Linked DNA regions of Schizosaccharomyces pombe. Changing the gene in region 2 together with the main gene of any one other region gives a genetic interaction. Each region holds a gene or a part of one and is shown on either strand. Other genes may lie near its edges. The genes, in order: SPOM_SPBC15C4.06C and SPOM_SPAC27F1.05C.

Evidence for each region.
Region 1: mutations in SPOM_SPAC27F1.05C (region 2) and SPOM_SPBC15C4.06C together harm fitness less than expected from each alone (positive genetic interaction), as found in Schizosaccharomyces pombe (one large-scale study listed by BioGRID).

The regions. Positions count from the first base shown.
Region 1 is NC_003423.3:2,251,815-2,255,747, forward strand, and holds the start of SPOM_SPBC15C4.06C (ubiquitin-protein ligase E3), read right to left. Parts: upstream 1,897-3,933; 5' UTR 1,593-1,896; coding exon 1-1,592. Other genes in the region: SAGA complex/transcription factor TFIID complex subunit Taf10, read left to right, coding at 3,388-3,933.
Region 2 is NC_003424.3:4,323,208-4,327,140, forward strand, and holds SPOM_SPAC27F1.05C (aminotransferase), read right to left. Parts: upstream 2,069-3,933; 5' UTR 1,900-2,068; coding exon 445-1,899; 3' UTR 217-444; downstream 1-216. Other genes in the region: SPOM_SPAC27F1.10 (uncharacterized protein), read right to left, coding at 3,281-3,586.

The DNA.
Region 1 (3,933 bases), on a different chromosome or scaffold from region 2:
AATAAATAAGGATCAATGCAAGCCGGATGAAAGATGTGATGGCATGGCAGTTCTCGATAAAGAGGACTTTCTTCTGAATACTCACACAAGCAAATAGTACACTCCCTCTGATCGAAATACTTACTCCCTCTTTCGGCTGTAGTAACCACATTTCCCTGTCCATCAAAACTTTCTGATTTGTCTAATTTCCAATCCTTTTCATAAACCAACTCATCATTAGGATTGGCAAGATGAGGCCCCGAAAACATTCTAACGGGCAAAGTATCGAGCATTTCTTTAGTAACACGATTTTCTGGTTTGTTTGGTCCAATATTCACAATTCTTTCTTGAACAGGAATTCCATGACGATTTAAGAGTCTATAAAATCCATTCATTGCACCAGAAAAGTGAAGGCAAATAAAAAGGCCTATGACACCGATTAAACCCAATAACACACCAATGAATATATAGAGGCCAAGTAGCTTTGGTTCCTTGCTGATGATAACGCCCAAACGGGCCGTAGCATCAATGTTTCCAAAATATTCGACTAATGCTCCACCATCCTGCACCGAATTTAAAGAAGAAGCCGAGTATTCGTTGAGAATCTTTTCAAAAGCGATGCCGTTTTCGTAAGATATGAGTGCCATTGGTAATGTTTCAAAGGTAATCATATCTACAGCATCTTCAAAGTGGTCAAAATTGGTTAATGAATTACTAGCAGTGCTTGCATTATAAAATAGTATTGCCTTTGCTCTATCCTGGACAGCCTGCAATACATGCATTGGAGCACAATAGTCAAACGGCGCGAATGCGATTAAGCCAGAACTTCCCATATTAGAAACATCTCTAAACCATACGCTTCCCTTGGTATCAACTTGAAGTGACTCGGTGTCATTGCAGCTACCATAAGGAGTAGTTTTATATATAATTCCACGAAAATTATTCTTCAGTTTAGACAAGCTTTTGTAATACTCATTCAAAAGGACCGTGTTGTCAGAGTGGAAGTAAAATGAGACATTTTTTGGAAGATTTGAAACAACATTCTTGTTGTTTTTAACAATAAGAGTAGTTATGGTTAGCGGAAAGAACTGATTGTATTCGACAGCATTCATAATAATAGATGAATTTCCGTAATATGAAAGACCAGAGCTAACATAATTAGATATTGCAGTATTTGGAGCATTGCTGGAATAAGCAGGGTAATAATCATCATACAAGGAGATTGAACCAGAAGTAGAGGACGACCTTGCAGAACTAGTACTAGAATCTGAATAAGATTTGGGATTTGATTCACTGGAAACAGAATCCGAGTCTGATTCACTAGAACTGGACATAGAATCTGATTCATCATGACTAGATCTTGAAGAAGAAGTGTGTTCACTAGCATGCCCACTAGTATGGCCTCTTCTTAATGATCTAAATGAATAAGAGATTGGAGTTGGCGAGATACTTTCGTCCTTTGGCATTCGATATCGCCTTCTTTCATTCCATAGTTTACGAATTGCATTAAACAGCCGCTTTCTCCTCTTTACCTTATTCTCTTGTGAAACATAGCCTCTGTAAACTGCATTGCAATCCAGATGATCAAGCAACTGGTTATTACACAGATGCATAAGAACCTAAACAAACTTTAAGGCACGAAGAAACACAAAGAACTAGGAAACAGGAGGTTTCAAGATTACCAAAAAACAAACCTGCTTTGATACCAATCTTTCTAAATAATGAATCAAATTTAATGGTAATTGAAAGGTAAGCTTTCAATCAATAAACAGACGTTGAGTGGTGATATCTCTAAAGCAGGAATTGTGGAACACAATTAATGAAATTTTTTAAAGGAAATTTCAAAAAATTAGAAAGTAAAAAGTGTGATTCTTTTAACTTATACTAGCTCAAGCTTGAAAACCACAAATTGGTGGTGGCTAAGTAATGAACATCTTGAGACATATTGCGTACATAGTACACAATACATGTGATATACATGTGGAAAGCAATTGTTATTATATTTTCACTATGAGCAGTATACTTCAGTGAAGAAGTTTTTTAATGAAGGAAAAACTATGAAACAAACAAAGCATAAAGTGCAGGGCGAGAAAAACAATCGTGAAATAAAACAGCTTATTTGTGTTTGGTGATTCGACAAGCGCTTTAAACAGGTGTGAGAAACTAAATAATAATAAATGGTAATTATAAGAAATAAAAAAACGAAGAAGTGATACTTCAAAAAGGTAAGCATAGCTGGAGAATTAATGATCAGAGAGAACTATAATAAATAAATAAAAAAAGGATCGCTTAGCGATCAATTAAACAATAAGATATCCTCCTTAAACATAAGAAGCAATTTACTAGGAATACGTTATAGGATTTAATGTTGTTTGAGTATACTTTGTAAACTAGTATAAGGATATAATTATTGTGATATGCTACCTCGTAATTTAGTATAATTTTATGGAGTTCGTTTAGTACAGCGGTTACATATTTGTTTAAGAAGGCTAAGATATAATATACTATATAATTTTATATTTTACTGTATTAACTTACAACTGAACTAGGAAAGGGTAGTTTGTTCGGTTGAGATATTTCTTCAATAATTGTATTTTCCTAAAGATGTTTTACTCGTCCTGATCATTAAAGATCAGTAGTATGGATCCGACAGTTTTGAAATGAAAATAACAATAATTAGTAGTGATATCTAATGTAGCTTTGATCTGGCTTAGCAATACATTATTGGTAAAGTATGGGGAAATGGATTATGTAGTTTGTTATGAGAAATAAAAAATGTGCACCAAATTAATCTCAAATATCCTTTCTTTGCGTAGTAAATTTTTTTATTTGTTTTAAACACATATTAACTGGAAGTCATGTTTGCGCAAACTTTAAAATGCTCATCTCAGCAAATGAATAACATTGTAGTTTGAGAATAATAATTACTTTTGAATACATATGTTCAAGTCCAAGAAGGCTGCCATTCAACTCTAAACTGAACATTTGCTTATAGAAGCAAAAATTGTAGTAGATACCAACTTCGCTCCGAACTCTATATAATACCGATTTTAAACAACACTTTTTACCAGAAGTTAATTAATCTTATATATTAATTTCTATTATTCAACTAGCATTATTCCAAGAATTGGAATTATTTACTTTTCGATCTTAGCCCTTATATACGTAAATAACAATGCTACTTTACCACGAATACAGAATATAGTCCACCTCCACCATCCCTATTTTAGTTGGCCTAGTGGTTTCTTGAAACACTGGATTAAAGTATTAAAAGTTAAGTCCATAAGCTAGGGAAATAAATTTCCTATTATTTCCAATAAGTCGAACGATAAATCAAGGAACCACGGATTTGAATCAAGTTGCAGAAAGACATTCTTTGCTTTACAACATCGGTCAAATAAAGAAAGAATGAGTGACATTAACAATAATGAGCCAGCTGAAAATATTGAACAGCCCAAGCAAGAACCAGAAGATGGAAATAATTCGATGAGTGTTGATGAACAACCCGAAACGTCTTCCACAAATCTGCCAACTGGTGACAATCTCGCCCCAATGAGTGTAGAATCCCCTGCACATTTAAATAACGAGGATTCTCCCAAAAGCGATGATTCTAGAGAAAGGCATGGCTCGAATTATGTTATAGAACCGCATTTAGAATTGCGAGATATGGCCAAAGACAAAACACTTGAAAATTTCTTGGCCCAAATGGATGATTACTCTCCCTTAATTCCAGATGTGTTATTGGATTATTACCTCAGTTTATCTGGATTTAAATGTGTTGACCCACGCTTAAAAAAGCTTCTTGGTCTTACAGCTCAAAAATTTATTTCTGATGTTGCTCAAGACGCCTATCAATATTCTAAAATCCGAACCGGTAGTAGCAATGCATCTTCAACTACGTTTGGTGCGCAGAATTTTGGAGCCGGAGGCGCTTCCGGGATTGGATCTAGCGGA
Region 2 (3,933 bases):
GGTAAAGTTGATGGTTAACTGAACAACTGGATTTTACGTATTTAATCTGCTTTGATTGTGAATTTAATTATAAATATAATAAAATAAAATTTAAATTTTTTATTTAGTTGCATGTTCTAGATATTCAATTTTTCATTCTTTTTAAAAAATCAAGAACAAAGCTGAATTTCGTATAAGTTTTTCTTCTGTCATACATAGTAAATTAACAACTCCGTTTTATATATCTTTTTTAAAAAGTGAACGATTTGATTTAAAATAGTTCTATATAGTTTATATAATTTTACAATCGATGGTTTATCTCAAACGTTGCATGTAAGCAAGAAACAATATAAGGAGCATATAAAAGCTGAAACTAGATAAGAAGATAAAAAAATTAACATTTATGCCTGATGACCCAACTTTACTAAAAGCCTGAAAGGGCTAATGATAGATGAAACCAAAGTTTTAGGTTGACTTGGCTGCAACAGCTTCCTTAACCTTAGCATCAAACTTTGCAACAGCAGATTCAACGGCTGACAAACCTTCGTCTAAGTCGGCTTCTGGAATAGTTAAAGGAGGAAGGAAGCGGAAAACTGAAGGATTATTGAGTGAACAGTAGACTTGGACGTGATATGTATCGGCAAGGTCATTGACAATAGGAGTTGCATAGTATTCGCCGAATTCTTCTTGAACTGACTCAGGAATGGGATAAAATTCAATACCAACTATCATTCCTCGACCACGAACATCCTTCATAACATGAGGGAATTTTGTTTGAAGTTTATTAAGACGATCAAACATGATACCACCTAACTTGCGGCATCTAGAAAGAAGGTCGTTTTGCACGATATAATCGATGGTAGCAACACCGGCGGCAAGTCCAAGAGTGTTTTCTTGATAAGTGGCAGTGTGCAGAAAAGCCGTTTCAAGGGAATTGTAAGCAGCATTCCAAAGCTCCTCTGTAGCGATATACCCTGCAAATGGAATGAGTCCGCCTGAAAATCCTTTGGCGAAAGCGATACAATCCGGAATGATGTTTTCGTATTCACAGGCCCAGAATTTACCGGTACGACCACAACCGGTTTGAATTTCGTCTAAAACGAGATATGTATCGTACTTAGTGCAAAGTTCACGAGCCTTTGCAAGATAACCTGGAGGAGGGACAATAACACCACCTTCGCCTTGAATAGGCTCAACAATGAATGAACGGTACATACCAGAGGATAAGGCAACTTGAAGTGCTTCCGCATCACCGTAAGGGACGTAGTCAACGTCGAAAGGAGCAGGACTTTGATATTTTTGCCATTTTTCTTTGCCGCCTAAAAAGACGGCACCAGTGGTTTTACCATGGAAAGAGTTCAAAGTAGAAAGAAACTTTTTCTTGTTAGGCTTATAACGGGTAGCAAGGCGAATCAATTTAATAACTCCCTCATTAGCTTCAGCACCACCGGTTGCAGTCCATGTGCGAGTAAGTTTTTGACCAGGAGATAGCAAAGCCATATTGCGACCAAAGGCAGCTGCAAGGTTACGATAGGAAATGGCACCCATCATATATAACTTGGCATCAAAGCATTTCTGTAAGCAATCCCAAACATACTGATTGTTGTTACCGACCGTTACGACTCCAACGCCTCCAATTAAGTCCAGATGCTCAGTACCCTTTTCATCAACAAAACGAGAATTATCAGCTTTCACAAAATTGCGAGCGTGGCCATGGACAGTGCGTAACTTGTTTAAGTGGTCGAGTTGTAACTTGACAGTCGTTTCTGGGTCCATTTTCATGGCTTCGTCGAAGCACCACAAACCCTCAGGATAATTGCTGGCTGTTCCATTTTCGGAGGAGGCATCGGTTTTTGAACCATTTGTGTTAAGTTCAACCGTCTTTGAGGTAGCAGTAGCAGTGGACGTGGAATCAATCATGATAAGTGCGTAAATTTAACGTAAATAAACGAGCAGGAAAGATAGTTCTTAACTCAAAGCTTCTTAAATGTAATTTCCAAATGAATCTTTACAGTATATGGTTACCTTGTATAATCCACTCCTTAGATTGAAGAAAAGGTCGAATGAATGTTAACCTTTTACAATTGTTGGCATTCACAGGCAGCTTTAGCCTATATATATAGTAAAAATCATCAATGCCATATTCCTATGTACTTGACCGAAAAATGGCTATTACCTCTCTCACATCCCCCGATCAAAGTCGTACTGCCCAGATAGCAATTAGCGTACTACAGCCTTCGAGTTGGCCGACGGGCAGAACCGAGAAGAAGATATACTCTAATATTTGATCATTACAGAATTGGTCTCAATTATAAGAATTCAAGAAAAAATATCATGCAATGAAGTGTATTTAGTTCAAAAAAGCTTTGGCGCTAATAATAATGTTGGAGCAGAAACAAATGATTGCGCAGAACTATTTTACATAGGATAAAGTAAGCAAAAAAAAAATAATAATAATAATAATTAATTAAAAAGATTAGATTGAATCAAACTATGTGATTTAATTTATTGAAATAAAACTGGTGTTGATTGTGGATATCTATGTAATAAAGGTTACATGTTTTTTTTTTAATAATTTTTATTTATTTATGAATTAATTGGAAAATGTTTAAAAAAGGGCATTCAGCTGTGTCTGGATATTTAATTTTAAATATAAAATAAATATAGATATATTAAAACGATAAAAATGAAAATAATATTTGTCACTTGTCGTATACAGTCTTTAGGATAATAAATTGTAAAGCAAAAATAAATAAATAAATTATAAATTATAAAGGTCACAATAAGATATAAATGACAGCTTTCTGTCTGAATCAGTTTATCTAATAAATTCAAAATTAATAAAATGTATTAAATCATCTCATATTCATATAACGATCAGTTCTTTTGACCGTCGCGATAATACCGCCGAGCCTTAAATTTCCTAGAGATAGAAATTGAAATTTCATTCCTGCTATAATCTGTAACTCTCTACACACTGCGCATCTCGTAGATCTTGATATACTTTGAGATCCCCGTATTCGGCTCAGCTTTGTAATCTAAAGATACCGCGGAGTGAATGTTGGCCGAACTTGGTGTAGCCGAAAATGAAAGAGGAAATAAAGATGTGTCGCAAAGCCAACACAGTGATCTATCGTATTTGTTGGTATTGAATAGTCCGATCCAGTTTACAATGTTGATGCAAAAAGCCCAGGAAATGCAGTAAATACATAACTTGGAAAGTGATTATAAAATCGGAGAAAGAATTCATAGTGACTTATAAAAATAAAGACGTTCGGTATAGAACAAAGCATCTATTGATTCACTGTGATGTAAGGAACGTGTTTAAATGAATAATAAAAAAGCAGTTAACGATATAGCCAAATACAAAAGTTGAATCAAATAAGCTAATATTATATTTTTCGCACTTCTCGGTAAATGATATCGCCTCTGTCAATTTAAAGTAAAGTAAACTTAGACGAATTGAAAGCCAATAAGGAACCAGACACTTTGGTGCCTTTCCAGTTTGAGATTTGTACGGTATAAACGAATTGATGAGTTCCATCAGCGTGGATTTCAATAAAGCATACGCAGTAAACCATGGGTAGATCGATCCAGTTAATTGCATCCTACTATGTATAATTTCTTTTTTTATTCTAAATCAACTTGCAGTAGATAAAATACATGAGAGATATCGCGAAAACCAATTATGAAATCTCAATTAAAAAATTGAGGGAATAAGAGTATTTAGTAGCCTTCTTCATATAATAAATTCACAAATACAAAATTTTCTAGTGGCTCCACCAAATATCCGTAGATAACTAGTAGCGATTGTGCTTTCCCTCACTCATGTTTCAAGACAACGACTAATAAAAAAAGTGTTTTATTTATTCTGATGCCCATTATTGCTCACACATCTAATTCTATCATCAGTTTAAAAGAGTGCTCAAGATCCTCACCTTACTGCGACCAATT